3 linked regions of the Cricetulus griseus genome follow. The protein of the gene in region 1 binds, or shares a complex with, the protein of each later gene. Links are inferred from orthologs where the notes say so. Each region holds a gene or a part of one and is shown in the gene's direction. Other genes may lie near its edges. The genes, in order: Ptprg, Cntn4 and contactin-6.

Region 1 (10,496 bases):
CTAACATGTCTAGGAGTTGATGCAGAGGGAGATAAAACCCTAGCAGGAACACCAGCTAATGTTTTAGAGATAATGAATCAAGTTCCAAACTGAGCTGTTTGAACAGTAGCATTTAGAGAGACTCTGAATAGCACAGCTTTACCTAATGTTGACAGAGACACATGTGTACTCAAGGGGTACTATGTGAGAGACAGCCTGTGGAAACTCAAGTGGCTTACCTATAAAAAGTGACCAAAAATAGAATCTCAATAAATCACTACAAACTAGATACAAAACCACACTCGTTCATCACAACACATTAATACTAGAAATCCACAGTTAAATAAGATTCTAAATCCTATTAATGGAAACTGAAGTTCTTACATGTGAAACTACTTTTAAATAATTTATGGCTTAAAGAGATAAACAAGATTGAAACTGCAAAATAATACCAAATGATCAAAGCATTAACTTTCAGAAAGAACCACACTGTACCTCCCTTAAAAAGTCATAGCCCAATCTGCATTTATTGAAGTTTGGAAACAACCTTGGCCTTCAGTTTTGAAAGCTGGGGGGAATAAACAGATAAAACCACTGAAATACAGGTAATTAATGGAAGAAAACGAAGGGAATGAAGCGGGAGCAAAGACAGAAAGTGTAAGCAATAAATAGACCTGGCCTAATGAAAGATGCAGTGGTGATATCCAGGGAGATGACATGCTGCTACATTCCCAGCTCGGAGGAGACAAAGGTAGGAGAAGCAGCAGTTCACAGCCAGCCTGGACACCACAATGACAAGTTGTCTTTAGAGGGGAAGGAGGAGGCTGGGAGTGAACCCTGGATACTGTCACAAAGAAGACAATTATAGAAGGCATAAGTTAAGAAGAAAAAACTTCCACTTAAAGACATCTGAGAACTGTTTGTTTATGCTTGTTCTTTTAGGTTCTTAGCATTTACAAATTACTTATAAAAGCTAATTATCAATAAAACATCTCAATTTACTTCAGGAAGAAACAGGTAGAAGACTGTCCACAAGCTGGTGATTTGTGTAGCTGAATGACAGCTACACACTGGTCCTTTTGAGATTATACTTCTGTGTATGTTGAACACATTCACTGATTAACAAAAAAACCTAGAAATACATTTAAAAGAAAATAAAGTAAGTGAGACTGTTTACTTGCAACATTATGTTAATAAACTTTAAGCAAAGGTAGTAGATGATGTTTACATGATATGTGCCCATCTCTTTTCTAAGCCACTTAGATCTGGAAGCTGAAATGTAGCCATAGTCTCGCTGTAAGACTCGTTGGCCAGTGACTTCACCTGAAATGCCTCTTCAACATTAAGGGACAATGACCGCAGAATTGTCTCATAGGGAAGAATCACTCTGTGTATGTAATTATCTAGAGAGAACATAGACCACACAGTAGTGATTACCAAGAAGTGAGTGTGAGAGAGAGAGCCCTCCCCAGGCCTGGGTCCCCAAACTCTCACTGAGGCTACCTCGAGATAGTAACAACACAGTGAGAAGAGCACAAACTGCATTCAAAGGAAAATGCTAGCACCAGAGTTGCAATACACAGGCTAGTCCTATACATTTGACAATCATGAGTAAAATACCATCCAACAAAATCCAATATAAAAGGAGTTACATATTGTAAGAAAATAAGCTTTATTCTGGCAATATAACACTAATTAAATAGTATCAAAATGTGTTGATGAACTCAAGACATTTTCAAAGATTTTTTTTTTAAAAATCAACAGATAAAAATAGGTAGAAAACATCTATAATAAATAATGGAATAAAATAACACCCCTTCTTAACCCCACCAATATCTTCAGCAAACAGAACAAAGAAAATAAGCCATCATCCTTAACCAGTTATCATTTATGAGAAGCCTGTCACACATGCTTTTATTTTTTTATTTAAAACTTGAGTAGCTTAACCATTAAAGACCATAAAAAGCATGCCTGCTTCCATTGCTGGCACACTAAACATTTCAGGGTTTAACCAAGGCAGTAAATACCAAAGACCAGAATAAACATCAAGAGGCTAAGTCCACCACCTAGAGAGCCTACAAATTACTCAAGAGTTCTGCTGTGTAACTGTCTGCATGCTCACTTTGTCAGCATAATTAATGTCTCTATACATCAAGTGTGAAGGTGCCACATGAGGCCATTCTGAGGAGTAGCAGGGACTCCATGGACCCTGGAATTAACCTAAAACATGATGTGCAAAGATCTAGAAAGAAACTCCAAAGCCCAATTGACCTGCGTAAATGTAGAAAAGGCATGCTATTTTTGAAGAGAAAAACTAAAGATTGAAAAGGCATGGCTTTCCTCAAACTTATCTATATATTCATGGAATGTAGCAAAAACCCTAACACTTTTTGTTCCTTGATAGTCTGGTTCCAAAATCACCATAAAATGGTAGAGTGGAACAGAAGGTTACAGGTATTTTGAAATAAATATGAAATGAAAATTTGCAGTACACGGGTTTAAGGATATGGCAGCAGTAGGCATTTATAACCTACCTATACTTGAAACATGAAAAATAAAATTAGAAGATACAAAAGAAAATCTTTACAGGCAGAATTCTCAAAGCAGAATTCCTCCTGCCCCAAATAAAAGATGACCTTAATTTACATCTGAGCTGAACTGTATTCCAGGCAAACAAAAATGATCATAAACAATGTTTATAAGAACTTCAGCTTTACTGTAACCTTATAGGCCCATCATAAATGTAGTCTTTGGTTATCCAAAACACCATTATGCAGTGGAAGGGTTTTTTTAAGTTCAATTTATCTGATTAAGTGTTGGAGAGATGGTTCAGCTATTAAAGGCTACAGTCACAACCAAATGGACATTAGATATGCTTAAGATTATTGAAAGTGAGGGCCCTGCAGCACTTTCTATTTATCTCACCTGTTGTAATATCTCTTATCCAAAATCAATTCTGTAGTGTTTACAAGTCTACTTTTTTTTAAAGATTTTATTTATTATTTATACAACATTCTGCTTCCATGTACATCTGCACACTAGAAGAGGGCACCAGATCTCATAACGGATGGTTGTGAGCCACCATGTGGTTGCTGGGAATTGAACTCAGGACCTCTGGAAGAGCAGTCCGTGCTCTTAACCTCTGAGCAATCTCTCCAGCCCCCACCCAAGTCTACTTTTGAACCTTTTGTTTCATTTTAGACATCAAGCTGAGCCATTTTTCGAAAATGGCTTTGGGCAAAAATGTCACCTCTATGTAAATTTGTAGATCCCTCCCCCTGTCTAAAATTTAATTCATTCTGTCTTCTGGAATAGCCACCAACCCAGCCAACTTAATTCTTAAGAAAATATGTGGTGGTACTTAACCTCCCGCTACATGTAGTCCATTCATACATCTGAAATCACATCTTTCTTTTCTCCTCCCCAGGTATGGAGCAGTTTCTGCAGGAATGCTATGTGCCCTTACCACCTTGTCCCAGCAGCTAGAGAATGAAAATGCTGTGGATGTCTTCCAGGTGGCAAAAATGATCAATCTTATGAGGCCTGGAGTATTTACAGACATTGTAAGTAGTTTGCATGTGTGTCAAACCTGTCAGATGATCCTCAGATCTGTACTACAGACCAGGGGTTCTCCACTATGGGTGTTGACCACGAGACAGCTGGCAATATCTGGAGACTTACTGTTTTTCACCACTGGACAGAGGTTCTGTGGCATTTAGTGTGTAAAGGCCAAGCTCACCATGCACAAGATAACCCTTGCCAACACGGAAATATCTACCCCAAAATATCAGTAATGTAGTTTAAAAAAAATTCTACTCATGAGTAGAGTGTCTTATGAGCCACCATCACTGAAACAGGTTCTGTGCTAAGACCAGAGGATATGAAGAAGGCATAGAGCTCAGTGATTCAAGTGGTTGCTTTTAAAGTTGAATAAAAATTGTTGCTATTCTTGTCTCTCTGGGCATGGTTTTTAGAAGTATGTTTTTGAACAGTATTTGCATCTTTGATAAAATGTCTAACCAGTTATTCACACCTGTCTTCCAGGAACAGTACCAGTTTGTCTACAAAGCAATGCTCAGCTTGGTCAGCACTAAAGAAAATGGAAATGGCCCCATGATGGGGGACAAAAATGGTGCTGTGCTAACTGCAGAAGAGTCAGACCCCGCTGAGAGCATGGAGTCTCTGGTGTGACCGGACCCCTGGACGGGCACTTAATTTGTAAACTTCTGACACTTGTAAAGACAGAACTTTTTTGAGGCCTTTTTTGCCAGACTCTAGGTTATACAATAACCCAGTTACTTTTTTACACTGATAAAAGTTTTGATATTTATTTTTTGCCATTTTATGTCTTAATGGTATCCTACTGAGCATTTGCACCTGTTCATTTCACACAGTGAAACGCAACTTTACCTAGTTTGCACTATATGATCAGTGTTACTGCCTATAATCTAATCTACAGCAAACCCTGATGTGACATTCCATGACAACATACATGCTACTATTTAGTTCTGTGCAGTGAAGGTCTTTGTTATGACAGTGAATCTCAGTTTTGTTATTATTCTAAAGCAATTGCATTTTCCTAGCAGGCAACACTGTACTTTTCTCAGTTCCCCTCTATTTTTTTTTCTAGGCACTGTTCAATACTATATGCCTTCTGTTACCATGGAGTGGATGGGCATTGTTTCCTTTTACAGGGCAGGAGGTTAATGGGAGCCCATAAGAAGTCTGATAATGTCCATTCCATTTGTCATGGTTGAGGGATCCACTAAGAAGTTAAGAGGGCTTAAGAGTTGCTTCATGTGAACATCTCTTATTAGTTACCGAGTTATATTCACAGTTGAAATGTGTCAAAATAAAGAATCATTCTGTATTACAGATTTCACAGTAGTTATGTGGACAGTGTGTGTTATTTCCATTTTGACTCTCTGAAGTAGCTACACCCTAAAATAGGGGCTGGCTTTTATAAAGGAAAGGTGGCACTATTTCATGCAGTTTACTTATGACCCCTTTAGTTAACCCCACTAAAACTTTTTGGTATCTAGTACCATACCTCACAGTAGCTACAGCAACGGAAAATAATAGGTATTTAAACTTTCTTCCTTTATTTTTTTTTTTGCCAAATGTTTCATAATAAATCTCTTAATTACATAATACTCTACTTAAGATTGAATTTGAAATATATTTGAGACCAAATTCCTACAGATGAATCAGTCTTATTTGGAGAGATAAATTTGAGTCTTAAAGAGAAAGTTCAGTTTTTGAATGAAAGGTAACGACGTCTCCATTTTAGAGCAGGTTTTGAGGAGAGTTGTGGATATTCACGAGCAGATAGATGCACAGCAGTAAGAGCTGACAGTGTTCGGTAGTAAGCCCTAGGTCCAGGTGGAGCTGCTTGTGACCCATGTAGTACATAATGGGAAAACTGGAAGCATTACTAAGAAGTTTCATTTGAGTTGGTTTAAAACAAAACAATACCCATTAAACTATTCACCAAAATCTGTATCTTCCTTTTCATGTCTCCTTTTGAAGGTCAACTTCTGTCAGACTTGAAATCATCCCCCAAGATTGAACCCCCATGAACAATGGGGTTTGGCTTCCTTATTATTCCAGTAAGCTTTACGATGAGGCCATGTGGCTGCTGTCACTGTTGAGGCAGCATTGCAGTGGGAATGTGGCTTTGTTCTTCTTGAGTTGTTTGTCTGAAACTAGTCACAGAAGTGCTGGGGAACCAGAGCTGTTAAGGAGAGGGTCCCAGGCCAAGTTAAGAGTTTCAGTGCATGAGCCAGGCCTATGAAGATAATTTGTGCAGACTAACCTAAGCTTTTGAACACACAGAGAACTGAGAGTCTGTCTTTCAGGAATGGTGACCTGCTAAGCAGAGTCTGTAAGGTGTCTGTGCTAGATAGCACCCTAGGCACATTTACCACACACACACACACACACACACACACACACACACACACACACACACACACACACACACACACACAGAGCCCCATCAGAGGTGTCACCCTGCACAATTCAAAGAAGGACTAACCATGGATACAACTCTCAGGGCTGAACGGAATACTGAAGGAAAAAGATTCAGATCACAGTAAGAATTAGAGATCCCTAGCCAGTTAAGCAGATTCTTTTTGCTGTACACAGATCTGATGCTCTTCAGTTAGATGCTCAGTGGCTCTGCCATTTGGGATTAACATTCAAGTTGGAGTTCATGGTCTCCCAATTTTCTCTTAATAAAAGTAACTGTTTAGAAGACAAATAGCAAGTATTACTTTCTGTGCTATTCACACAGGAAATTCAATTTATGGAATTACATGCTCCCCACAATTCTGGGACTATCTCTTACACAAGTGAGAGAATAAGGAGGAAAGGGGGGTGAAATAAGTAGGACAGAAATAAAACCAAGGTGGGTTGAAAGCTCTCTGTGGGAAGCCTACACATCCATCTTACTGGACTATGAGCAGTTGCTAGGTGACCATTTTGCCAAAATGGTCCACACATCCTTCACTGAGGAGAGTTACTTTCAGCCATCCTCAGTCCTCACTTTCACCACAATATGTGTCTTCACTGTTCTTTGCTGTTGGCAAAAATATTTTGCATCTTTCCAGAGGCAGAGAGTTCCAAAGATGTTTTCTTTGAGACATAAGCGCATTGCTTAGGTACATACTAAGGGTATAACCACTTACAGTCAAGGGGAAGGGATACAGCTATTGCTAAAGCTAATGTGCAAGTTCCTAAAATAAGCTGTTTGCATGTGTGATTTGCCTCTAGGGCACAAACCAAACAAAGCTGACTTGTAAAAATTAGATCAGGTGGACACGCTGGACATCAAAGATGTATTAGAGACATCAGAACAGTTTCTTGTACCCCAAACTATAATACCATCTTTAATGTTCCTTTTTTAAAAGTTACCTTCTGAGTTTTGAAACTATTTGAGAGCCCGTTTTGAATAGAAGAGTCCAGCAGGGTCAAAATGAAGTTATAGTGTTCAAGATGAAATAAGGATTATGGTGTCCAAGGTCTGGTGGGTAGTTTTTACCCCAGAGTGACAATGAAATCAGTAAATAACCTTAATTGTCGTATAATGACACAGCACAACTGCCTTCTCATGACTTTTCTTAATTGCATATATACTATATTTAAAAGTAAAAAGTAGATACCAATTTACCAAAGATACACATTACTAATTCTAAGCAAAAAAATAGAAACCCAAACACATCGTAATTTAAGAAAAAAATAATCAAAATGTAGTTGTCTTAAGGCTTTTGCAGTTACATTGGAAAATGCATTTTTCAAATCCTATGTCCTAAAATTTCTGTTCAAATGGTGCCAGTCAATTTTTATATGAAGGGAAGAATGCCTGCTTTTTTTTTTCATAGCAGCTGTAATTTCACATAACCCTTTGCACTTTCCCTTAGTTACCACTTAACACACAATATTGGCTTTATTAACACACAATATTGGCTTTATTTATCTCTAGAAAGAAGGCATGGTAAATAGACGAAATTATAATGACATTTGGCCTCTACTTTTGTCTTAGCTGTTAAAATGTTTTTAGTATTTTTGTTAAATATTTGCAAAGGGAAGCATTTTCTACAGAGGATAATTAATTTCAAGAAAAATATCTTGAGTTTTAAGAAATAAACATCTCCAGAAAAGGAGACAGTCAATTTTATAAAATGTCGTAACTCTCCAACATTTGGGGTAGTGACTCCTTTTTTGTTAGGACATTTGAAACTAGCAAGCAGCCATTGTTTCTACAGAGCCCCACTTTCATGTCGACTCGTGTTTGTTTCGCTTCATTTTCAAATAGCTAAAATCATTAAAATTGTAAATATTTTGTTGCTTGAGTAAGCATCTTCTTCGAACTTTGTATCTATGGTATATAATCATAGAATTTTATATTTTCATATAAAGCTAATTTTTTTCTAGTTTCAACTACGTCATAGTTTTCGGTTTTGTTTTGTTTTTGTGGTGGATATGTGAACTTACGTGTACTGAAGTAGCAAGAACCATCTTTGCATTCCAATTGAATCCAACCTGTGTTCTTCCTTTGAGGCAGTGATTGTGAAAGTCGGGTTTTCTTTTTAATTCCATTGACCATTAGTGCAAAAGCAATTAGACATGACTAGTCACTGAATACATTTGTCACATTGACTCATTTTGGAAAAAGTGGATTTTTTTTTTAAAGATTTGTTCCGTGGGGACGGGGGTTTTATAACCTGAAATTTTCCCTTTTTCCTTCTGTTTTAAACTATATCAAATCATTCTATTATAGTGTTATTTAATATGTAAATTGTATTGCTATACATAAAATAAAGTATGGTTTTTGATGTACTTGGTAGTATTGAGCATTTCTATGAGAATTAGATCCGGCTTTCCTTTGTAAGTAAGTCACACTAACACTCAGTAGCCCTCCATCACAGTGTTCACTGTAGTAAATGAATGTTAGCAGTCACCTTTACAAGCAAAGCGACATGCTCTTGCCAAACTGATTCCTGATATTCTTCTTCCTTTCACCCCAAGAAAACAAGACCAAGTCTCACCAGTGTCAAACAGCCTCTGCTTTGTGATTGTCCCTCTGGCATCTCAACCACACTGGGGACAATTTCCTATCTTAATGTTTACTGACTAGTATAAAGGGTGGGTCACAGCAAGACCTTTGTAGAAACATGGAGTAGACATAGGATCAGTACAAGTTCTTCTATGTCAGGACATGGCTTCTTAGTTTACCATTCTGTCTCCATCCCCCAACGAGCGCGTGCACACACACACACACACACACACACACACACACACACACACACACACACAAGCCTGTCCTTAAGAATGCGTCTCTTCCTAAAGTTATACCCCTGGTGACTCTAGTACACTGTACCGGTGTATCACAAATCAATTAGCTATATAGATCCTGGTCAGACAACAGGAACATTTTATTTGACCTAATTTTTTTTGTAATTCCTAATAGTTACCAACATTTAAAAATACATACTTTTTACATTCAGATTTCAAGCTCCCTTTCAAAACTGGGTGGTGGTATGGCAGCAGGCTCACTGTCTGCCACAGCCATATGTCTGGTCCCCATTGGTCATGTAACTAACCTTTTTAGGTCTGGTGAGCAGCTGCCTCTAAACTATACAGTCAGAATCCCAGGGCCATTTTCACCTCAGGTTGGTAAACCAGCAATCAAGAGCAACAGCAGAAGCATGCGTATTGACCTCCCATCATTCACACCCTGCCAGTCAGAGCCCAGTGGGTTCCCACACTCTTGACTCCCTTGGAGTCAACCCAAAATGATACCATTAAGTAAGACATTGTGACTTCAGAAATAGTTCTATCGATTGTCCAACTCCATGGCTTTGATTGTACAGAGTATATCTCTAGACTAGGAAGCTTCATTTCTGTTACTAAGAATTGGGGAGGGGATGCTATAGTAAAACTCTACCTTTTTACACACTAAATGTGAAATTTCAATGATTTAGGAACAAGTCACAGAGATGGAACTAAGGGCATAGGTTCAAGTTGGGTGTCATGGGTGATAATCTTAGCTCTTGGGAGGAAGAGATAGGAGGATCCAAAATTCAAGGTCATCCTTAGCTATACGTGTTAATTTAAGTCCAGCATGGTTACATAATACCCTTTCTCAAAACCACAGACTCCAAGACAAATAAATGAATGAAATACTAGCTTTACTTTATATATCCTATATTAAAGGTAAAAACTAACAAGTTAAAAATAGCTTTTGTAGTTATGACACTTCATTTACAAGGAAAATAGTAAGAGCTGCATTTTATCTTATGTGCTGCTTAAAAACTAAGAAATTAACATTACCAATATGGCCTATGGTGTAAAGGCAGACTTGTGCAACAATCCAGTCTCATGTTCTAAACTGCCCATTTCCAAGCAGTTGCTGAAATGCAACCTAACCCCAATGCACAGACTGCACAGTAGCTTTACTCTTGGAATGTAACATCACTGACAGGCCTTTCAGTCACATGAGGCAGAGATTAGTTTAGTTTTAAAAGAGTGTCCTTTAAAGTGAGGTAGTCCACCTGCCTACAATGTGTGGGGCCTGGATTCAACCTTCAGTAATGAAACAAAAGTTCAATTTCTTCAAAATGATTTGTTTGCAGGGCTGGGCAGGTGGTTGTGTGAGTTGAGTTTGGCTCTCCAGCACCTATGTAAAAGCTGGGTATTGTAACACACATCTGTAACCCTAGAGCAAGGGAGTTAGACGAGTGAGTGGAGATAGCTCTGTGACTGATGGCAGTTCAACTGAAGCAGAATGTTCCAGATGGAGTGAGACATGGCAATCAGAAAACTAGGTAGAGACGATAGAGGAAAACACCAACATTACACAAACCCACACACAAAATAAAATTAAAAAAAAAAAAGACATATTCTTGGCATTTCAGTAGAGACAGATTTTAAACAAAGACTAAAACGACAGTTGTGACCCCACTGTGAGCAAGTAAGTAAAACCATTCACCACAGGTTCTCCTTCCGGCTTCATA
Region 2 (11,362 bases), on another chromosome or scaffold:
CAAAAAAAAGGGGATGTTGCAGGTCCTTGAGAAAGGCCAACTGCTTTGCCACATGGATAAAGAAAGGATGAACATTCCAGAAAGAAGACAACAACTAATTAAAGTGAGCATGCCAGGTATCCTCTGACACAGGACATGTTGAAAGAGAAAGAACAGTATCAAGAATTACTCTAGAGCATCACCTATAAACCCTAACCTGTCCTGACCGAGCCAGAAGGCGTCATCTTTCTGGGTATAATACAGTAAATTCAAGGCTAAGTTAATGATTTGAAAACACACTGCAAAGTAAAAACAAATGCAAGGCACAAAGTTGCTCAGATACATAAATGACGAGTTAATGGATCCCTCTTTGAACACACAGCCAAGGGTAAGTTCAGATGTTAGCTATAAATGAAAACAAATTCTGCAGCAGTTTTTGGCAAGCTGCTGCATTGTTTTCCCCCAAACTGTGACCTTTAATTAACATTGCCTTTGTAACATTGTGTTTCTAGATATAGGGGCTTGCCTTGTTATTTAAAACAAGCCATAGAACAGAAACCTATTATGTTTTTAAAGATTGCAGGGAAAGCTGAGGAGAGCTTTTAATCAAATGCATTAGCCATTCCAGGCAGTGCACTGGTGCTTGCCTTAATCCCCCTGGCAGTTTTCTTGTGACATAATAGCAGTCTGGACCCAGGAGCTTAAAAACTCCCTGTTGCTGAATGAAAGAGCAAGAGAATGAATAGAGAGATCAGGTGTTTTCGAACACCTTGCTAGCTGAACTTTCTTAGTCTTGGTGTTGACTTTCAGGGGGTTGAACAAGTAGGAAAATTTCCAAAGTGAGTGCTCCACGGGGATCTTCAGCGGCAGGTTTTTCCTAAGACATCCTAACTGACCTCTTTTCTTTACGTTTATTCCCTCAACTGAGCCTTTTCTTTTCATTGTTTCTGCCCATCAGTTCTGAAAGGATTGACCCCGACCCAGAAAATTTAAGAAGTTTTGCCTCATGCCAACTTCTCTTGTATTCAAGTTCCCTAAGGACAGGTGACATTACTTATTTCACCCAGCACCCCTTCCTAGAAGGAAGAGGCTTTCAAGCACCCTGTTAGAGTTGGTTTGCTGTGAAGTTTGTATTCAACTGAGTCTGAAGAGAGCCAATTCCAAGTCAGAAAGGACCTGCCCCTCCCTGAGTGTCAAGTTCAAACAGTTAACAGTGAAGGTTTCTCTGCACTGAATCTGTACAGACTCTGTGGAAACATGCCTTGGGGAGGTTCAAGGTGGCCGTATTTGCCTGTGTACAGCCCTGCTCTCTGAAGAGAATTCAGCTGTGCTTCCCCCAAGTAATTGAGAAGTCAGCTTACAAGACACCAATTTGCCTTGCCCCCTGGGAAAATCTATTTACTCCAAATGAGCCTTGCCTCTCCATTACCAATACTTAAAAGATTCCTCAAACACTGAAACTAAATTGCGAGATTTTCAAGAGCTTTTCACTATGCTACGAGATGAGAAATTCTCAATGCAATCCATAGTCAATAGGAATGAACACTGACTGCATTGCAGTAAAACACCATGTCTGCTTTATCGCATGTCTCATAAAGCACTTTATTTTCTAAATAATCCCATCCCTGTTGCTGTTCGTATGTAAAGGCAGGCCATAAAGTAGATGAACGGACTTTGTGCACGGCATTTTTGGTTGAGGTGACGAGTGCCGACGAACCTACAGAGGTGTCATTATTCCCATAGCCAGTCTTCTAAAAAGACTCACATGGTCCCATTCCCAAATTCCACACTCTGCTTGCAGCTCACACTATATTGCAATTTCCTCTTTGAGTTCTTAGATTTGTCATATTAAATTGCTCTGCTATCATTTGAAGTGAGAGTTATGGCCAAGACGTGATCAGCTGACTAACAGTAAATGTGTAGGGCAGGCAGTCAGTTCTAGAGATTCATGTGCAGCTAGCACCGCTGGGCTGTAACGTGGCTGTTCTCTTTATTGCTTATTACTTTCTTGTCTGTGTCAGAGCACAGAGAGAATTACTGCAGAGCCCCTAAAACACTGTCAGTTTCTAATATCCAGCTTCTTATAAACAAAAACATAAAAAGCTAAGTCCTATTTGTGCTTCTAGTCTACTTCCCTGGCCCTCCTGTTTCTAGATTTTTACACTGCAAAGACACAGATGGGAGTAAACTCATATGACGGTGCTGGGTGAGGCAAGCATGGTTCATGAATTGTGTATATGCTCACAGCTCAAATATATACCAGAAAGACACAATTCTGAATCCATTCAATTCAACAAGTGTTTATTGCGCACAGTTAGACAGTTAAGTTCTAGATGGATGAGAGCAAGAATGCGGAAGTGGTTGAGGTAAATTGTCTTGTGGCAAAAGCAGTCTTTGCATGAAGGAATAAGAGAACTTCCACCGGACATCTAATGAAACATGGTACATCTTGACTGGAAATATGGGCAGGAATTTCATTGGAAGATGTGTGCCTCCCCCTTCTGCTCTTTTTTTTTTTTTTTTTTTTTAAGATGGTCTCTATATTTAACCATGGGCCTGAAGCTCGCTATGTAGACCAGGCTGGTTTGTAATTCACATGGGTCTGCCTGCCTCTACCTCCCCGCTGCTGAATTTAAAACAAAGAGCACCACCAGCATACATGTCCTCTGAGATTGACTTTGGTGTTCCATGTACTGACTCAAGTCTGTAGTCCCAACACTTGGGAGATGAAGGAAGAAGAATCAGGAGTTTGGGGTTATTTCAATTCCAAGGGAGTTTGAGGCCAGCCTGAGTGGCATGAGACCATGTCTCTAAAAGACACACACACACACACACACACAAACACACACACATGCAGGCATGCACACGACCCACCTATGTGTGTGTAATTTGAAGCTAACAGACTAACAATTTTATCATTTAAATTCTAGCACATTATACATTCATAACTACAATGCCTGGGATATTATAAAGGATTGCCCAATGGGTGGGCATACACATGCGCATTTCTATTTAGGTAATGGCTCTTGTTATTTTAAGAAAGTAAGATGAATAATTCTCAATTTCTACTCCCTTTTTTGATTTGAATCAATTTCCTTTGTGCTATAATCTTCTGTATGTTTTCAGCTCCTGTGAGAGTCTTGGTAATTCACAAGCTATCAGAAAACAGTCATTGAATTATATTAGTTCAAAAGTTTATATGAATTCCCATGAATCCTGAAAGATAATTTGACTCAGATAAGCTCTCATTCTTTGGATGTTAGTGACTCCGAGAACAAAATTGTAGATATTCATACCAAAGCTTACCTGCTGAAATATAAGTCCCCAGAAAACTAATTTACTGGGCTTGCTGCTACAGTCAGATGCACAGGTGACCCCAGTAAATGAACAGAAGGACAAGAAAACATTCTTTGCTTTGGTTATTTAATAGTCTGTAGTTTACTGGGGCAGTTGACTGGCAGTGACTAAAGAGATCATCCAGTTGATCCATGGTCAGGCAGATTTGGTCCCTAAAGCATCTCAGATCAACAGAGTTCCTTTGCATTGCAGCACTTCAGGCATGTTAAGAACTCAGCAGAAATTTCAACAGCTCTTTTGCTGTCTCCCTGAAAGTGGAATGTTCTGTCCTCTTGACATACCTATTTAAACTAGGATGCCAAACAGAAAAAGGACGTTTTATTGAGGAGTCCTTTTTTGAAGAAAGATGTAGTAAACCATGTGGAAAATTTTATCCCCTGTAAGAAATAATTATTTAGAGTATCCTATGTAGTCATGGGACATGTGCTAAAGTTTGATTTAGCACAAAGGACGGCTCTCTTTCTCCCTAAGTACTTAAGATGTCACCATTGCTGGCTAGTTTTTAATATTTGTATTTACCATGCTTCAAAACGTTCACAGATGATATTTTATGGTCTTCATAGTTTTTATCTATTTTAGACAATTCAAAAATATTGATTTATATTACAAGGCTTTATCTACTGGCATTTTTATACTATAGGTGGAAGTTAAATGGAACAGATGTTGACATTGGTATGGATTTCCGCTACAGTGTTGTTGAAGGCAGCTTGTTGATCAATAACCCCAATAAAACCCAAGATGCTGGAACGTACCAGTGCATAGCAACAAACTCGTTTGGAACAATTGTAAGCAGAGAAGCAAAGCTTCAGTTTGCTTGTAAGTAGCAATTATATTGCACCCCAAATGTATCTTTGAGATTTTGTACATTGTGTGAATACACTTTACAAACAGTACCTCCTGAAAGACCTCATGTATTTGAGTGTGGCAATGAACATTTTACCTTTTATTCATATTTTGAAAATATTTTACATGACTAATGAACTATAAACATGAGAGGGAAGCTGTATGTTTTATAAGTCTTGAGATAGTGTGGCTATGTAATCATTCAGTTATATGACCATTTGGTTATATGATGCTTTAAACAGACATAAGTTTACACATGTTACAGGTTACACATAATAAATGCATGCATACAACACCTACAAACATTGAACAGAGCATATGTGAATAGGTAATTGAACTATCAGCAACCTCGTAGTCCATAAAGAAGTATTTTAACCATTCGTAGTAGAGGCATAGCTTGGTTGGTTGTCAATTCACCAGTAAAGCCTACAATTCTCTGGGCTTTCTTCCATACAGTAAAAAAAATGTTTTAAAGTCCAATAATGAAAAGTAGGGGTACAGTATTATTCACCTTATATGTTTATATACCAAACCAGAACACTGAGAAACAAGTTGCCATATCTTAAGACTGCTACTTAAAGAAAATCTTTGCATGTGTGAAGGGAAGTAGGTTTTAGAAATAAAGAGTCGAAAATCACAATCCAGGGGCAGAAGCTGTAAGCACACATTCTATTATAGACACCTTGAGAATTGCTGTTCAGCTACAATCTTAAAGGTGTATGTATTTGCATATTATTATATATTCCCTTGTATAAAATCTCAACTTGTATAGCAGTATGTTAATATCAAAGTTTTCATAATTACTAAGTCTGTTGGTTGTATCACTGTAGAATATTCTCATTAACAAAACCCTCTCTGGGAACAGAATATCAAATATACCTATTATTATATTCAGCACTTAATCTTTTATTGCTGTTTGGTGGCATTTTTTACTCATTGAGAAATGAATTTTCTAGAAATTTTATAGATATAGAATTCTGGAGCTCCATGTTTGTATATGTCTCCTGAGATAGTCTTCAATTTTCTTAGGTAAGCAGAATAATAGGAGGGTAATACATCTGATTAAGGGCCACAGAACCAAACTGCATATTCCTCTGGTTTAATCAAGCTGGTATCTATACTCACATTTTAGTAATTACAGATGAGTCTCATTAGGTTTATCCAACAAAATAATGATACAATGGTAGGTGTTCAACATAGGGGGAAATTTCATGGTTCAATAAATTGCAACTCTGTGACCCTGATTTTTTGGGGGGTTTTGTAGCAAGCGTTTAACAACAAAAAGGGAGAAGGATACTATTACCAGCAAATTGACTTTCTAATAAATATTTAAAAAATACTTTTCTACCAGCCCTCAAGAGTATGCTTTTATAAAAGTACAGGCCTTTTTATTATATAACACATTAAGAAGACAGGATTTTATATTCAAAGATAGTTATTTAACTAGAATAGAATAGAATAGTTCTCCCCAAGAAGCTCCTTGTTTCACTTTTTGAAGCATTTTCACATTAATGTATGTGAAACCCACCTTGCTCATTCTATATCAATAGTGACATACGTACCCATCAGAATCGTTGTTGACAATCATTCATTTCATTTCATGCCTATGGATGTTTTGTCTGAATGTGTATCAGTATACTGTATGCATACAATTCCCTCAGAAGCCAGAAGACAGTATTGGATCTGTTGGAACTGATATAATGTATAAACTGTCATGTAGGTTCTGGGAATGGTCCCTGGGTCTTCTGGAAGAGCAGGCAGTGTTCTTAACTGCTGAGTCATCTCTCCAGCCCCTTTCCAGTTCTTACTGCATGAAACTAGTTAGTCTGGAAACCATATCTTATCCCATAATTTATCTTTCCTTTGAGTATTTAATGGGCAATTATCTTCTGGACAACAGACTCTTGTGTAAATTCATTTATGAAGTTATGGCCCTATAGATAGGTCTACAAGTCTTTACATGTGCTGTGACCTTTGCAAAGGACACTAGAAGCCAATGTAGCCATGCTATGAACTTCCACTACAGCAAATATAGTGGTCATACTGTTCATTTTCAAAAAGTGCTAGTCTCCTAGTATAACTTTATTGTTAGTTTACAGCTTATCTAATATTTCATGTTATTAAACTAAATTCAGAATATAGTATTTTCCTCGATTATATGTCCCTTTCTCAGAAGTAATCCTTTGTTCTATCTCATTTGAAATTGTTTTGAATATATTTCTTTTTACCTCTCCTTCCAAAATAATGGTATCTCTGGGACATTATAAATTCCTTCCTTGCAGGTGGGAGTAGCTTTCACCCAATCCAAACCTATGTGTTTCCTGGTATGGAAAATGCTGCTGGACATGTTAATCTCTCTCTCCCAATCTACTAGGACTGAATGTTAGAGATGAGCTCAGACCACTGGCTCAAAACCCCTATGTGTGTTAGAAGTGTTTAGGTAGCTTTCCTTAAGTTAGTATGGTGATTGATACGTGAACTCTCAGTACTTAGGAAGCCAAGGCAGGAGAACAAGGCCATGACTTCAGGGCCACCTTTTGCTACATAGTGAGTTCTTGGCGATTATAAGACATGGAGTAAAATTTTGTCTCATAAGAACAAAAAATATGGTCAGGGTGCAGCCCAGTTGGCAGAGTGCTTGCCAGCATGTGTGAGGTCCTGGTTATGATTCCACATAAAGTTAGATACATTTTTAATTATCTTAAATATTGATTGTCCTCCTAACTCAGGATCATCAGAAAATGTCATGGCTATGTCTCCACCAGTATAACTGGTATGTGTTGACCATGGTATCACGTGTGTGTCATGGAGAACTTCACTAAGATGAGGTCAGGTCAAACCATTAGGTTAGTGTTCTCTGCACATTCTTCTTGTTAGGCCAGCTGCAAATTTAGCCAATTATTCTATATTGAACCCCAAATTCTATTTATCCTTAAGCAATGGGAATTTTCTTATAAAATGAAGATGTACTTACTGTCTCTTCAGTATTCACTCCTCTCTGGTTTCTCTACAACTTGGAGCCTTGCTTCAGCCGTTTATCATAAAAGAGTGAATAATCATTGAAAATGTAAAATAGATCATTCCACTTCCTTGCTTTATGCCTTCTGCTGCACTTTAAAAAATCAGCACATCTTATTTTAATTTCTCAAAAAAAAAAATGAAACTACTCTTTTGATACCAGAGTCTTGATACTTTCATTAGCTTTGCCTGATACCCAGTACCCACTTCTTCCACTCCTTCAATTAGCTGACTTCTTAAACTCTTCCACTCTCAACTTCTGTGTCTGTGGTGGTTTGAATACGAATGGCCTTCATAGGTTAGGGTGCTTGAATGTTTGGTTCTTAGCTTGTGGACTGTTGAGGAAGAATTAGGAGGTGTAACCTTGTTGGAGGAGGTGTGTCTTGGGGGGTGCTGAGCTTTGAGGTTTCCAAATCTCATGCCAGTCCCAGTCCCTCTGCTTCCTGTTTGTGGAACAGACTGCCCAGCCTTTGTTACTGCTCTACTCCAGTGCCATGCCTGCCTGCCTGCTGTCATGTTTCCCACCATAATGGAATGGATTAACCCTCTGAAACTGTAAGCAATCCAACAGTTACTAGTTGCTTTGGTCATGCTGTCACTTCATGGCAACAGAGTATCAGAAACGACGCAGCCTAATAGATATTTTCCACAACTCCTTTTCTTACATAGCATCTCTTATTTTCTTCTGTCTGCCTTCCTCCAGTCCTCTACTTCAACATCCCATCATTTCTGTTCCTTTTATAGGATTCGATAAAACTTGGAATGACTGTATATTTTCCTGTTTGTTTTTTATTCTTCTCATATCATCTCCATTCTGAAAGACCTAAGATCACTGCCTCTGTCCTGCATTTGTAGAGTCTCTAGTAGGTTATTTGTTTGAAAGCACACATTTCTTTAACGCCCCCCTTAGTAATGAGTATGTTTCTAAAACTAAATTAGAAAAGATAAATTTTCACAACCACATCTTTTACATTCTGACCATGTTTTAATGCTGAAATTCCTCATTATCAAGCTACAACTTCAAGGAGATGTTTTCCTAGCTTTTTAATAAAGAAGATTAAAAAAAACTTGAAAGATGTTCCTGATGTCAACACAAAAAACAAAGCTCTTATCTCCAAGGGAATAAAGTTTATTCTGGAGCCAAACCTGATTGACCATGGACAGAAAATCATAGCTCTTTGTATGTCATCCTATGTTCTGTGTTCCAACAAGGGAGCAGTTTCATGGAGTTTTAATAGTAATGCAATGAACAAAGTTAGAAATCAAGGCAATTTTCATTAATGAAAACATCAGAAAGGGTATAACAAAAAATTGAGAAATCTCTCTTATAAGCCTAATGTGCTATGTGATGACATTCTTAGCTTTGGGATTGGTGGCAGCTAGTGGTCTGTTAACGTTAATATATTACACAAGGTTTTTATTTATTAGTTATAGGATGTTAGTTCCTATACATATGTGGGAAGGGATTGGCTATTCTGGGGACTAACGCTAGTACCAATAAGATAATTAGGTTCTGGACCTACAACATTTCAACATTTTCACATCACTATAGCTAATCATTCTTGGTATATACAACCTCTTTTGAGGAATTCTCATTCACACTGGTATTCAACAATCGTTTTCAATTGGTTGAAGTGAAAGGTCATTCTGTATTTAATAAATAAAATTTAAGTAAAGCATTATGTTCTTTAAATATCTTTAAGTTAGTTTTTCCTAGAGCCTTGTGTAATCCTTGAAGACTAATGTTACTTTTTGACTACACTTTTTGTCCTGTACCATGAGTGAGCCTGTGCCCTCATCCTGAATCAAGTGGATTTTATGGCCAAGGGACTTTATATATTTCCTAGTTTTTATCCTTATAAAAGTGAAAGTGAAGATTGGAATGAATGAACTATTCATTTTTATTACATAGTTAATAGTTTCCAGAGCCAAGGAAGTCCAGCCCTTAGATCTTAGTTCTGAGCTAGCTTTTTTCTCCTTCAGCCTAGCTTAGTTCAAAGAAATGCATCCCTTAGTTTTGATGTAACAATCAAACTTCTGCAGATCTCTTTTACATACTTTGTTTTCTCCATAGAAAAAATATGAAGAGGTAGATTTATAGTGTCTGTTATAAGGCTTATTAAAAATTATCTCATGCAACTTTGTTGACAGAAGTGGATAATTTCTTATATTGGCACTTAACATCTTTGATTTGTATTAATTGACCTAGACAAATTTCTAGTTCACTAGAGATGATGCTTTTAAAATATGTTCTCATTTTGCTGCACAATGTTTTTCAAAAAGAATTTTTTTTCTTTAATTAAACAAATACAGGGAATTGCAGGCTCCTCTTAGTGAGATATGGACCATTTCTTGAGAATGCTTATTGTTGTGTAATTTGGAGAGTATTTTGCATTTTGCTTTTTGATACCTACTATTGTGGGGGTAATAATCTGACCATATGCAGTCATCTCCCTGGCCTCCACTTACCCTACTACATACTTTTCTGCCCTGTACTCCTACATTATCTGGGCCTAAGAAAGTGATTGACCAATTTGCCCAGTGCATGGCACTTAGGAAACTCTCAGTAATGCTTTTGAATTAATTAATGAATGAATGAATAAATCAGAAATAAGTAAGTGTTGAATCAGCATGCACAGGAATGAGTGAGCACTGCGTCCAAGGACTTCCTTCTATCCCTTTGGAGTACTGTGTGGGTGTGTGCAAGCCTTACCACTTTGAGGCTGAGCCAGGGATGCCTGGCATCTTAATTCCAGATGTGGACCCATGCTAGGTGAGGAAGTACAACCTTCACCAAAAAGGCAACCTTGGAGGAGATTTAGAAAATGTGCCTTTATAAGGTAGTTAAACTGAGACTGTGCCTGGCTTCAGGAATAGCTTTCCTTTCCACTTTAGAGAGTCTCTCAAACCCTCATGCATTCCATCCTCTCTGTCATCCAGAAGAAATCGTGTTGAATGCTTTCATTCTTCCACAGGCAAGATATTCGGTAGACAAAGTTGAGAACATTTCTTTTCAAATCATTATTTCCACAGCATAATAGACATGCTTCTAGAAGTTGTGTCTGTGTATGAAAGGATGCTGTAGCTTTCATGCTTCTCCACCTAAGCATCACAGATCTCCTGGAGAATCAAGATGCAGTCATGAGCAGTGAAAGTTTTCTCTGACATATAGACATGGATCACAGGGTCCCAGGGATGTAGCTCTGTATTAGAATGCTTTCCAAGCATAGGTAAGACTCTGAGTTCCAGGTGCAACACTGCCAAACAGAAAACAAACAAACAAATTCAAATGTACATTTCTATACTTGCAAAATCATCATTAACAAGAAAATCAATCCAGACTTGTTGGTACACGCCTATAATTCTTGCACTCAGGAGATAAGTGGTTTGTGAGTTGGAGGCATAAATAAAATGATAGAAAAAAGTTGGGGAGATGCCAGCTTGAGAAGTGGAGTTTCTGTTGGAATGGAATTTAGCTCAGTTCTCTTTCCATTTATCTCTCCCATCACTTCTCTAGATCTCTGGCCTTCAGCAGCTCCGTGGGGGTACAAACACTCCTCTCTTAGAGATGCAAAAATTCTCTAAGTGGTCCTAGTCTCAGAAAGTTATCCAATGATTCTCCATTTTCTCTTATTTCTTTCCTTTATTTCCCTCCCTGTCCTATCTCTTTCAAATAAAAGTAGTTAACTGCCATTTTACATGCTTAGATGTAGTCAGGTAAGAATGCAATACATGGACACAAATCTTTGGAATCACTCTTAGCTCCTTCTTGGATGGCCATGACCTTGTTCAACATGTTTCTCCTGACTTCAGATTCTTTACCCAGAAGATGGAGGGTATTTACTCTACTTCTTTGCCTACAAGGACTAAATAAATTAACACTTGCAAACTCCTAAATAATGCTTTATTTGGCTTAATGAATACTAGGTAATATTATACTTTTATTATTCTATATTGGATATTATGCTAAGAATTTTGGAAGCAATATCCCACTTAATTCTCAACATAACCCAAGGATTTGTAGACTTTATACTCATAGCTGGAAGGACTTGAAAGCTAATGAATTGAAATCAACAGGACACAGGGGTAGGAGTCCATATCAGCATAGGACCCTGGTTACCTAATGCCTGAGCAGTTGGCAGTAACCCTGTGCTACTTTCAACAT
Region 3 (11,362 bases), on another chromosome or scaffold:
GAATTCAAAAATATGCAAAGAACTCAATAAACTAGTCATCAAAACAATAACTAATCCAATTAAAAACTGGGGAACAGAACTAAATAGAGAATTCTCAATGGAGAATCTAAAATGGCTGAAAGACACATAAGAAATTGGTCAACATCCTTAGCCATCCTTAGCCTGATTATAAAGACAGGTTTTTAGTGCATCAATGATATAAATAATGAATATGGTTAGGAGTTCTTACGGTGCTAAATTGCTTATGTTCCCTAGGTATTTGTAAACTAGAAAACTAAAAACAAACAATTGAGCTTCTTATTTCTAATGCAAATCAAAACAACTCTGAGATACCATCTTACTCCTGTCAGAATGGCTAAAATAAAAAACACCACTGATAGTTTAGGCTGGATGTGGAGACAGGGGAATACTCCTCCACTGCTGGTGGGAGTACCAACTCATGGAGCCACTTTGGGACTTTTTCTCATTTATGCTGCTGCTAATAGAAAAAAAGTAATACCTTGAGGCTGGTAAGACGGCACAGCAGTGAAGAGTATTTGCCACTCTGGTAAAGGACCAGGGTATGATATGACGTACCCACATGGTGCTCACAAAAGTCTCTAATTCCAGTTTCAATAGATGCAACATCATTTCTGGCCTCTCCTGGCACTTAAATATATGGTTCACACCCATGCATGCAGTTCAACCACCCTTACACTTAAAATAAAATTTGTAGAAAGGAGGTATTACTTAATTTAACCTTAAATTAACTTAATTTAAAATGGACTATATAAAATATAATTAATAAAATGTTTAGGATTACCATATTTGAAATTATGGCTTGAGTATTTAAAAGCTAATTCAGGTGATATAAAATGTAGGTAAAGTTTCACGGCATAGTATCTGAATGCCTACAAGTTTTTAAGTTTGTTAAATATATCTTAAATCAGTAAAGTATATTTTTAAAATTTATTTTTTGCATTAAGTATAAAAGTATGAGCAACCGATTGTAAGGACAGGTTTTTAGAGCATCTATGATATAAATAATGAATATGTTTAGGAGTTCTAAAAGTGCTAAATGGGTTATGTTCCCTAGGTATTTGTAAACTAGAAAACAAAAACAAACAATTGAGCTTCTTATTTCTAATCTTTAAAAAGCGATTCAAAACATCCCTGTATTTACATAATAAACTCAAAAGCAAGAGAGTTTGGAATGGGAAAAGAATTAAATTTATAATGCCTAAATGCCAGACTCAGACCCAAATTCTTTGATAATATAACAAAGGGCAGTGGTATTTCATGCACTGTATTCTAGCTGTACAATGTAAACACATTGCCATTTCTGCTTACATTTGTGTTTTTTTCTTTTTACAATTTAGTAATAATGATATTAAAGTTAGATTATTTGGTAGAGTGTACACTGGAGAAAAGGTCTTTATTATTAAACAGTCCAAGGTTATCCAGGTTATGTAGGCAAAATGAGAAACAGTTCAAGAGAGCCTTATATTAAAATTAAGAATTATCTTTTCTTGTGGAATCTCTTTCTGACAAATAACTGCAGGAGGATCATTTCTCCTTTGAGTAAATACTACCTCCTCTTTGGTGTGACAGTGGCCTTCCCTACACAGTATTTTTTTTTTAATCAGTTGCTATAAGATTTTTGTTTTGTTATTCTAGTCAGGATCATAGCACCATTTTTTCTAACTTTTTCCTTTTTGACCCAAATGCACTGTTACACTGATAATTTTGTGGGGAAAAAGTTGTTTATATTATTGTTGTTCTGTAAATTATGTATAGTAAATTGAATCTCATGGGAGGAAAGAGCTATCTTTAAAAGTAGGTCTTTGGAAATAGTTAAGGAATAACTTGAGTAAAGTCATTTTCAGTGAAATAAATGCCTTTATAAACAGGAGCACAATTAAAGTCAAAAGCCAGGATGGATTTCCTGTATAGTTTCAAACCACAAGGTAATAGAGCTGAGAAAGGGAACCAGTCAAAAGGATAAACAAAGGGACTGGGCTACACAAAACCAATGGTGAGAGACAATTGCCAATCACTAGAATACTGAGGAAAATAAAATAGCAGAGAACTTAATCCCAAATATTCTTTTTTTCCCAAGGCCAGACAGGTGTATTACTGAGTTTGAGGCCTGGCCAGTCTACAGAGTGAGGCTCTGTCTCAAAATAAATACACAGATACTTAATTAGTTAGTGAATAAAACATAAAATGGAAAGTAAAATATTCTTGACATATGCTAGTAGTATCATCAGTGTACCACAGCCAGGTAATTTCCAGCACTCGGGAGGCAGAGGCAGACAGATCACTGTGAGTTCAAGGCCAGCCTGGTCTCCAGAGCGAGTGGCAGGATAGGCTCCAAAGCTACACAGAGAAATCCTGTCTCAGAAAAAAAAAATTACCAGTGCTGAATTCTGGTATCTATTGATAATTACTCATAACCAGGAGAGAATTGAGCAACTCATTAAATGCTAGCCTCTCCTAGAAAATGAGGGAGTCAAAAAAATGGTAATCTTGAGTTGGGCTTCCGTGGAGCATGCCTCTAATCACAGCATTTGGGAGGCAGAGGCAGGCAGATCTCTGTGAGTTCCAGGACAACCTGATCTTCAAACAGGGTTTCAGGATAGTCAGTAAATTCTCAGGTGATGTTATTCTCTTCTCATAAGTTTCTCCAGTTCCTGTTAAAGACTTCCTGCAATCAAGCCTGGTATACACTGTGAAAGTTTTATAATAGAAATACACAAGGATGCACAGGACAGTAATGGGATAGCAGACAAGAGGGCTCTTTTCCTGGAAGGAACAGGTTCAATTCATTCTGTAATATCTGCAGCAGACAAACTTAGAATGGAGATTTTCATGTTTTCCTCCAGTGGTCTGGGGCTGGACTCAGATGTAGGTGCCTGTAAGAAGGACTTAAGACAGAGAACCGACTTGTGAGAAATACCACACAAAGACATACATGGATGTGCATATTACCAAGGACCGCAAATAGAGCTCCCAGTCATATTGTCCAGTCAGGTCTCAACCACCTAATTATGAGAGATATTCCTCAGTAAAAGAATTTTTCAGTTCAAATTCATCACATATTCTAAAACTAATATGTTAGTTCATATGCTAAAGTATTCCCTCAACACACATCTTCTAGTTTGTATCATAGGAAAATTTGCTTGGATATATAATGCCATCAGTAAAGCATGTCTGACAGCTACTGTAATGAAGTAAAACTATTTCTCCATTTATTTAAGCATATTAATTAGGACAAAGCCCACACCCAGAGCTGAACTCCTGATCTATATGCACAGTTTAATAATCATTGTACCATAGTGATTAGAATGATTACGGGGCTACTGTGAAAAATTCATTTGCAGCAGCAAAGCCAACAACTTTGAATTTGTGTTGAAAAACAATTACTGAGCTTAATTAGGAGCATGTAATGATGACAGCAGTTATTTCAGTGATTGATTCCAAAATTAAAGAGAGCTGGCAAACTAAGTATGGTATACCCTTCTCTTTGAAAATGATAGCGAACACAGAGGTCTGAGACCATGCCCTGCAAACGAATTATGAAAGACAGTTTGCAGTGAGAGCAAGGGGAATATTGGTATCTTGAGACGGGTCTGTGGGAAGGAAAATGTCCTGCTTTTTTGTTATAAGAGCACAAACAAGAAGCAGTGTGTACAAATTACTATTGAAAAAATTGGTGGGAAACCCAGTCTGTATAGATGGACTCTTTGATGGCTGCTGTTCATCTTTGTTTTATTAAAAAGAGGTTAATATATGTAGGAGGGGGGCAAATCATTTTGAAGTTGGTTCAAATCCTCTTGTTGATTTGATATTTGAGCCATCACTTTGTATCTTTGATAATAGTATGGAGGAGTGCAAAATTATGTATTTCTTTCTGTTTTAGTAGATATTAGCCAGATTTTTCACCAATGAATCTGTCACAATGCTGTCCCCCAAATCAATGGTATTCAAAAGAACTTTGTAGAATGTCATTCTTTTCTCACAACTACCCACCTTAACAAAATATTTTAAACACAATTTCACAATGAATGGAAGAATCATAACAAGGCTGACACATGCCCTAAACGTATGGTTTGAAAACTGGGTATGTTATGTAGGAGGAGGCCATTTGGTGGTAGGCTCAGGTCAAATTACCCTAAAGCAGTTGTTCTCAACCTGTGGGTCATGACCCCTTTTGGAAGTCAAAGGAGCCTTTCATAGCAGGGTATCTGAAAAAAAAAAAAAACAGATATTTACCTTATGATTCTTAACAGTTGAAAATATGAGTTAGAAAATGACAACAAAAATAATTTTATGGATGGTGAGCACCATAACATGAGGAAATATATTTAGGATACCAGAATCAGGATGGTTGAGAACAACTGCCCTAAAGCCTGGAAACAATAGCAGAAGCAGAAGGTCTTTCCCATCTCCCCCTTGCCCTTCTATTTTTAAACTAAGAATAGAGTTTTCATTTCAGAAGTTAGTTCCTGGGGACCCTAAGCAAAAGAACTTACTTTTTCCTGATGATACATAATCCTCAGTCCATGTTGAATTTTCACTAACTCTGAACATCAACCTTACTTGTTATTATTATCCTGACAACTGGACATCCTTAAATAAAGCCAGCACTATATATATACATCGGTCTGTAAATGGGAATTTTGTTTCTGAAAACCCCAATGTCATGGAAAGCTATATGGAATGTCTGTGTGTGTGCTAATGCACAGTTATAGACCCTCAACAACAACCCTGACAATAAATGAAGAGAAGTTTGGCTCTTTTATCTTTTTTTCATCTCTACAAGTGCAAGTTATGATTAATTACTTTTAAATTCCAATTTCCATAAATAATTTATATGACTACATACAACTTGTAACTTTGAGATATATCTCATTAATGTGCAATGTTTATAATTTAAAATATGAAGTTGGGAGGTTTCCAGATAAGCAGTGAATCCAGTAAGATGGGCTAAGTTTATATTTTACTGATCTTGAACTGACCAAATGGAGTCTTCTACAGGTATTTCTGCTTCCTTCCAAATAGTGCTAATGCCCTGGAATATGTAGATAATTCTAGTACTGAAGGATTGTTAGTTAGCTAATCTGAGAGATTTTGACTTCTTTAAAAAAATGTTCTCAAGCTGTATTTGTTTTGCTAGCATATAATTTTAGGTTGGCTTTCCTAAGTGCCATTGAAATATTTTCAACATGATTAATTTCCAAGTGGCAGACTCACAAAAACAATCACATTTTTAAGCTGTCACATTATTATTGTTTTTTTTATCAGCCTTGAATTGGTATTGTCAGACCATAGCTGGCATTCTTTGTGCTGGATATAATGTAGCCTTCTTGGGTTTATATCTCTAAATCATTTCTGACATTCAGTTTTGCAGTGTCAAATATGGGGATTCAGATACGGTATACATTATTTGAAAAGTCTCTAAAGAAATAGATGTCAGAATTATTGACTGCTGTCTAATTCTATTTGCCATGTTAAGAGTTCTCATACATTTCTTGTTTCATGTGAGTTAGTATTTGTAACTTATGAAGGGTAATGAGCTTCCAAACAACCTATCAGATTGTATCACTGCCCCCAGAACAGTTGTATTTGCCAGGCTTGGTAACATAGCCTTATAATCTCAGCTTGTGGAAGAATAATACAAGAGGATTGCAAGTTCCAAGCCAGTCAGGGCTTCACAGTGTGTTTGTAGTCAGCATGGGCATCTTGGTAAGAACATGTCTGAAGATTAAAAAAATAAATAAAATGACTCAGTATATGTAGCCCAGTGGTATAGCACAGAGGTGAGAGTGTGTGAGGTTGGTCCTATTTCAAACTCCAGGACTACTAACAAAAACAACACTCTTGCCCTTAATAAAACTACAGATATCACCCAACAAGTGATCATATGTTTGGTTTGTTTTTTTTATGATTACAGGAATACAGACAGTATAATTTTTATGATAAATAGTATTCAGTTCTCTATATTACATAAGTAATTTTATTTCATTTTTATCCTTGAAGGTGGAAACAAAATGGCACAGATATTGACTTCAGCATGACTTATCACTATAGGTTGGATGGAGGCAATTTGGCCATCAGCAGCCCCCGCACAGATCAAGATATTGGCACATACCAGTGTCTGGTCACCAACACTGTGGGTACCATTCTGAGTAGAAAAGCAAAGCTACAGTTTGCATGTAAGTTTTCGTGAAAATTCCATATTTAATATATTCTGGAAAATAGTCTGGTGATGTTGGGCCAAAAAGGTAGCCTTTCCAGTATCCTGCTCTTTAAAATCAAATAGAATTTTATGTGTATAAAATTTTTTATTTTATAAATCTAGGTTCCTGAGGATAATGGAAATCTGTTATGTTTTAGGTAGAAAATATTTTTTAAATTGTGTATTGTGTAGTATTCTTAGAAACATCTCTAAAATTGCCATATATTAATACTAAGCCCATATATCAAGTGTTGCCCCTTCATTTTTTCTTTTGTATAAGGTATTAGTGTGAATAGCACAGGAAAGCAACCCAAGGCAGTGGTGTCATGTGGGGCAGGCGGTTGATTCTCTAGGAACAGCAATCATACACCCACAGTGAGATGTAGGTGGAAATAAAGTGGTTGCCACAGGCAGGCTTTATATTAACTGTAACAATGTCCAGCTGTATCACATAAATGTCATCCAAGTAATTACCTTTGTGACATTTGGGGACATTAGCAGATGAACAATAGACACTGCTTCTTATATCCTTTATATATAGTGTTTCCAGGAACTAAAATGCTTCATATTGGATTCAATGAAAGCCTTGTTTGAGAGTAATTATATCTCACAATGTGGACAGAGTAGAAGGCTTACTTTTCCCCCTAGTGTCACATCTTGTACTAGATAACCCAGGGAACCAGAATATTAGTTGCTTCTGTTCGGCGGCTAATGGAAATGTCTGTGATGTCTATAAATTTCAAAAAACCAAATTTAAAGATTTGGCTTAGAAATAGTGTCTCATCCTACCCTGAAAAAAGTACTTTAGTCATCTGCACTTATGTTCTTCTTATGTTTCAAAGGTTATTCAGTGTTTTTATTTGAATGTCTCTATTACACTAAATAATGGTTCTTAACTTGGGATTCATATATACACATACATGCATTTTGATCATACTTACTTCTTCATTCTTCTATTTTAGTCTCCTATACTACTTTTGCTCCCCTTTCAGTGCCAACTAGTTCTCCATATGTTTTAATATCTCTGCTTATAACATAATTAGTTTCATTAGTATTGCTTACATAAGCATAAATGATGGCTTAGTCATACAAGCATGACAGCTTATCAGTAGCTATGCAACTGAAGCATATATAACTCGTTCTTTACCAACTACCATTTGTCTATAAACCTTCAGGGAACTTTGGGTCTGTGAACTGTCCAATGTTGTTCAGGGTTTGCATAGAAAATCATAGCTGACCAAAGTTCATGAATTCAGAAGCAATGGTTCAAGAGTTCCACAGCAAGAAGTCAATATTTGCATAATTCTCCATGCCTTCCTCTGGCTCTGACATTCTATTTGATCCCTTTGCTATCATGTTTTTCGAGCCTTGAAGAGGGTGTGATACAAGGTGTCTCATGTATGGCTGAGAATTCAACAGTCACTTAATTCTCATCACTTTTACCACATGTAAGTCTTTACACTTACCACTGCCCATTGTAAAACCTTTATCCAAAAAAAAAAAAAAAAAACAGTCAGGAGCACATAACTAGGTATATAAATATAATTAATTGAAGGGAACATTGACAGAGGCTCCCTATTCATTTAACAAAACCACATCAAGAGTTTCCCCGTCATGGCCTATGACCTCCTCATTCATCCTGGCTTTTGACTGGGTTTACAGTACCAACTATAAATTCTTTCCTGTGTAGGAAGTCTCCATTCCAATTAGATAGTAAGTGATAGTTTCCATAGCAAGCCCACCATTATTGGATCAGGGAGCACAGGTTGCCTTACAAATCAATAGCTTGGATATAGGGTCCACAGCTGATTATCACGGTGAATGAGCATTTTCTCTCAGCAGACAGGATAGTATGATCAGGCACTAGACGGATGGACAGCATACAGTGAACTTCCTGCCCAATTCTAGCTTGATTTCTCAGTCTGGCAAAAAGAGTATGTGGTTTCTCTTTTAGATAGGGTGATACTTTCCACATTCTTTACTTATAATGTCTCTGTTGAATGGATGAATAATAATAAAGTCAGATATTTCTGGTGTCCTTGTTTTATAGAATAGAAGCTTAAACATTAAACAGATTGTGACTTTCCCCAGGGTATATTGTTATCAAACATATTTTAATTTAATTTTATTTATTTAGGAAAAGCAGAACTTACTTAAAATGAATGCTCCTGAGATTGAATAGGAGAGACCCCCTTACAACACTGTCCACACAAGTCATGGGAGCCAACTTTCTTTATTTCAGCTTCAAATAATGCAATTTATTTTCTCAACAATTTTCTAAATGAATCCCTCAAGGCAGTAAGCTGTGTAATGAGCTTTGGGGTTGGTATTGTAGTGCCTGATGTACTACATGTGTCTCTTCATGAAGGAGACATCCAAACCCAGCTATGCAGTTTGCCCCTTTCTGTATTTAATTCTCCAGATTTCTCTCAAGAATGAGATGAAACCTAGAAGATATAAGATACACCTACCCTTACTCTATCCTTCCCCATTTCTGTCTTCTGTGAGCTTCCCCCCAATCCATCTCTTCTTAAAATTTTAATTGACTTTCCCTGATTCAGAATTACTTTAAAAAAACTTTATTATTATTTCCAACATTATTTTTGTCAGCACAGTCAAGTCAAGCGACTAAGTAGGACACTTACAACCATGTGTGTGTGGGTTTTTTTTTTTTTTTTTTTTTGGTTTGTCAAGACAGGGTTTCTCTGTGGCTTTGGGGGCTGTCCTGGAACTAGCTCTTGTAGACCAGGCTGGTCTCAAACTCACAGAGATCTGCCTGCCCCTGCCTCCCGAGGGCTGGGATTAAAGGCATGTGCCACCAACACCTGGCACCATGTGTGTTTTTAATTCATTTTTCTACACATTTTATTTATTTTTAGAAGTTCATACATGAGGTGAAATTAATCTTATTCATGTAAATCTCTGCCTCCTGGATTTCACTTTGAAGCATCCCCAAGGAAGGTAGAAAACATCTCAGTAAGATTTTTTTTTGACATTGATTTTCTCACAGGTTAAAGAATTGTTCAGATGCCACAATTAACCCAAATTTCCCAAGTTAGAAAAAAGGTATGCATCAAAATACAAATGTTTGAACTCTTGTTTATTGTTTTCTGGAAGTTTGTTGTAGCATTGATTTGTCAGACAGAGTGACTAGACTTCTAAACACCCTACATTGTTTATGTGAGGTTTTGCAGTTATATATTAGGTAACTGATAGCATTTGCTTATAACTTTTATCTTGGTTGTAGCAGTCTGATGGAGCAGACTAAGTTTGTTTTAGATATGGCCAATAATTTTCTGCCTAATGACTTATCTCAACATGAAACCTTCTTGACAATGTGGCCCATATGTAAAAAATTTCATACTATAAAATAGGGCATATATCTTTAATTTTAACAGCTCATTCACTTCTCTGTTTTTAAGGCATGTCTTGAATTATTGGATCACAAAAGTCCCTGGCCACCTTTCTTTAACATCGGATTCTCATCCTTCTTTTGTCAGGCATATTATAATTTACTCCCACCTCTACCCCAGCTGACCCAAACTTAACTCTTAAAAGGAAGTTTTGTCTCTTATCACCTCTTATCATTCACACCAGCATTTCTGAGTGATAAATCCAGCTTGGCTCTTTAATTCACTTGTAGCTGTTTGGAATTTTCTTTTATTTCTCAAGGACTTTGGTGGTAAATGTTACTGGTGGATTTCCTGTGTATGTTAAGGAATTACTTTGTACTCCTATACTCCTGTGGGGCATTTCAATGTGTGTCTGCCATTTAAAATACTGTCCCTGAAAAACTGAAGTAGGTGTTTGGAAGGAAACCTGTAATTTCACTAAGCTCTGAAAGATTGTATTATATAGAACTCTGACAATGAATACACAGACACTTGTCATTAAATCATGGATAAAACTTTTGGATTCTGCTGTACTTCATATTTAATCATGGATGATATTTCTATTACACTTCTTCTGTCAGTGCAGAAGTAAAGGTAGCATGACAGACTTCTAATTGATTTTAGTTTTATTCATCTGGCCACCACCTGCAAATACTTGGTCTTATATGTGTTAATCATAGTGATAGCATAAAGAGATTTAATGTTAGAGTTAATGCTGGCAGGTACCTCCTAATTTGAGAGTGCAAACAAGTTCTTAAGTACAGTTCTAAACAAAACAATATAAAAAGAAAGCAAATTTCCTGTGCATAGTAAATACTATTGAAACTTTTTATGTAAATTGAGTATCTTTTTCATTATAGTATAGTCTCTGATAGAATCAAAATCTCCATTTCAAAAGGGGATAAAGAATTGTTTTGCCTGTAACCACACAAAAATGAATAACATGAATGATATTCAAACATATAGATAGTGGAATACAAGATTCCATATTTCATGTACTCTGCACTGCCTCAAAAAAACTTATAAGGTGAAATAAAAGGTGGACTTTAGTTAGCTGAACAGTACACTGAACAGGAAGTAGTTAAGTTCAGAGAAAGAACATAGAATGTTATCCAAAGAAGTGGCTTTATTTGAGCATTGAGATACAAGTTTCTGTTCTTAACACAGAAGCTAGATCAAGTATAATATTAAAGCTCTACATGAAAAGGGTGTGATCAGGACTACATGTTATGGAAGAGGCAAGGAGAGACAGATGTGGCTGACACAATGAAAGAAACAAAATGCTGAGTTGGGAAATGAGAGTTGTTCTTGACTGAGGCTGAGAAAAAATTTTCCTTGCTAGGGGATGCCCTTCTGTATGCTGTGAATATATGTTTCTGTTATTGGTTGATGAATAAAGCTGTTTTGGGCCAATGGACAGGTAGGATGTAGCCAAGCAAGAAATATAGGTGGGGCAACCAGACTAGGAGAATTCTGGGAAGAGGAACAAGGTGGATAGAGGGGGGGTGACTGGGAGGGAGACACAATGTAGCTACAGGGAAGATGGGATGCCCTGGCATGCTCCGGTTAGCCAAGAACATATGGAGATACTCAATTAATAAAAATGGGTTAATAATTAGAGAGAGATAGACAATAAAAAGCCTAAGTCATCAGCCAAACAGATTATAATTTATACAAACCTCTATGTGTTTATTTGGGACTAAATGACCATGAAACTTCTGTCCATATTTCCTCTTTGTTCAGTGGGACA

The links.
Region 2: the proteins of Ptprg (region 1) and Cntn4 are in contact, whole or in part, in a crystal structure (PDB 3KLD), measured with the Mus musculus proteins. The link is inferred for Cricetulus griseus from reciprocal best matches to the Homo sapiens genes PTPRG and CNTN4. Residues at the interface, in NP_033007.2 of Mus musculus: Lys222, Val225, His226, His227, Lys229, Phe288, Thr290, Gln293, Asp294, His295, Val296, Lys297, Ser298, Val299, Glu300, Tyr301; in NP_001103219.1 of Mus musculus: Thr128, Arg129, Ser130, Val132, Ser133, Arg135, Gln138, Gly139, Met140, Val141, Leu142, Leu143, Cys144, Gly145, Val219, Met220, Gly221, Glu222, Tyr223, Glu224, Pro225, Lys226, Glu228, Leu250, Asn304.
Region 3: the proteins of Ptprg (region 1) and contactin-6 are in contact, whole or in part, in a crystal structure (PDB 5E5U), measured with the Mus musculus proteins. The link is inferred for Cricetulus griseus from reciprocal best matches to the Homo sapiens genes PTPRG and CNTN6. Residues at the interface, in NP_033007.2 of Mus musculus: Val225, His226, His227, Lys229, Phe288, Thr290, Gln292, Gln293, Asp294, His295, Val296, Lys297, Ser298, Val299, Glu300, Tyr301; in NP_059079.2 of Mus musculus: Arg129, Val132, Arg135, Gln138, Gly139, Val140, Val141, Leu142, Leu143, Cys144, Gly145, Met222, Gly223, Tyr225, Glu226, Pro227, Lys228, Glu230, Leu252, Asn306.

The regions. Positions count from the first base shown.
Region 1 is NW_023276807.1:170,272,811-170,283,306, forward strand, and holds the end of Ptprg (receptor-type tyrosine-protein phosphatase gamma), read left to right. Parts: intron 1-3,406; coding exon 3,407-3,542; intron 3,543-4,023; coding exon 4,024-4,170; 3' UTR 4,171-4,866; downstream 4,867-10,496.
Region 2 is NC_048601.1:37,942,193-37,953,554, reverse strand, and holds part of Cntn4 (contactin-4), read left to right. Parts: intron 1-3,976; coding exon 3,977-4,152; intron 4,153-11,362. UniProt on the Homo sapiens protein: Contactins mediate cell surface interactions during nervous system development. Has some neurite outgrowth-promoting activity. May be involved in synaptogenesis.
Region 3 is NC_048601.1:39,519,101-39,530,462, reverse strand, and holds part of contactin-6, read left to right. Parts: intron 1-6,021; 5' UTR 6,022-6,055; coding exon 6,056-6,197; intron 6,198-11,362. UniProt on the Homo sapiens protein: Contactins mediate cell surface interactions during nervous system development. Participates in oligodendrocytes generation by acting as a ligand of NOTCH1.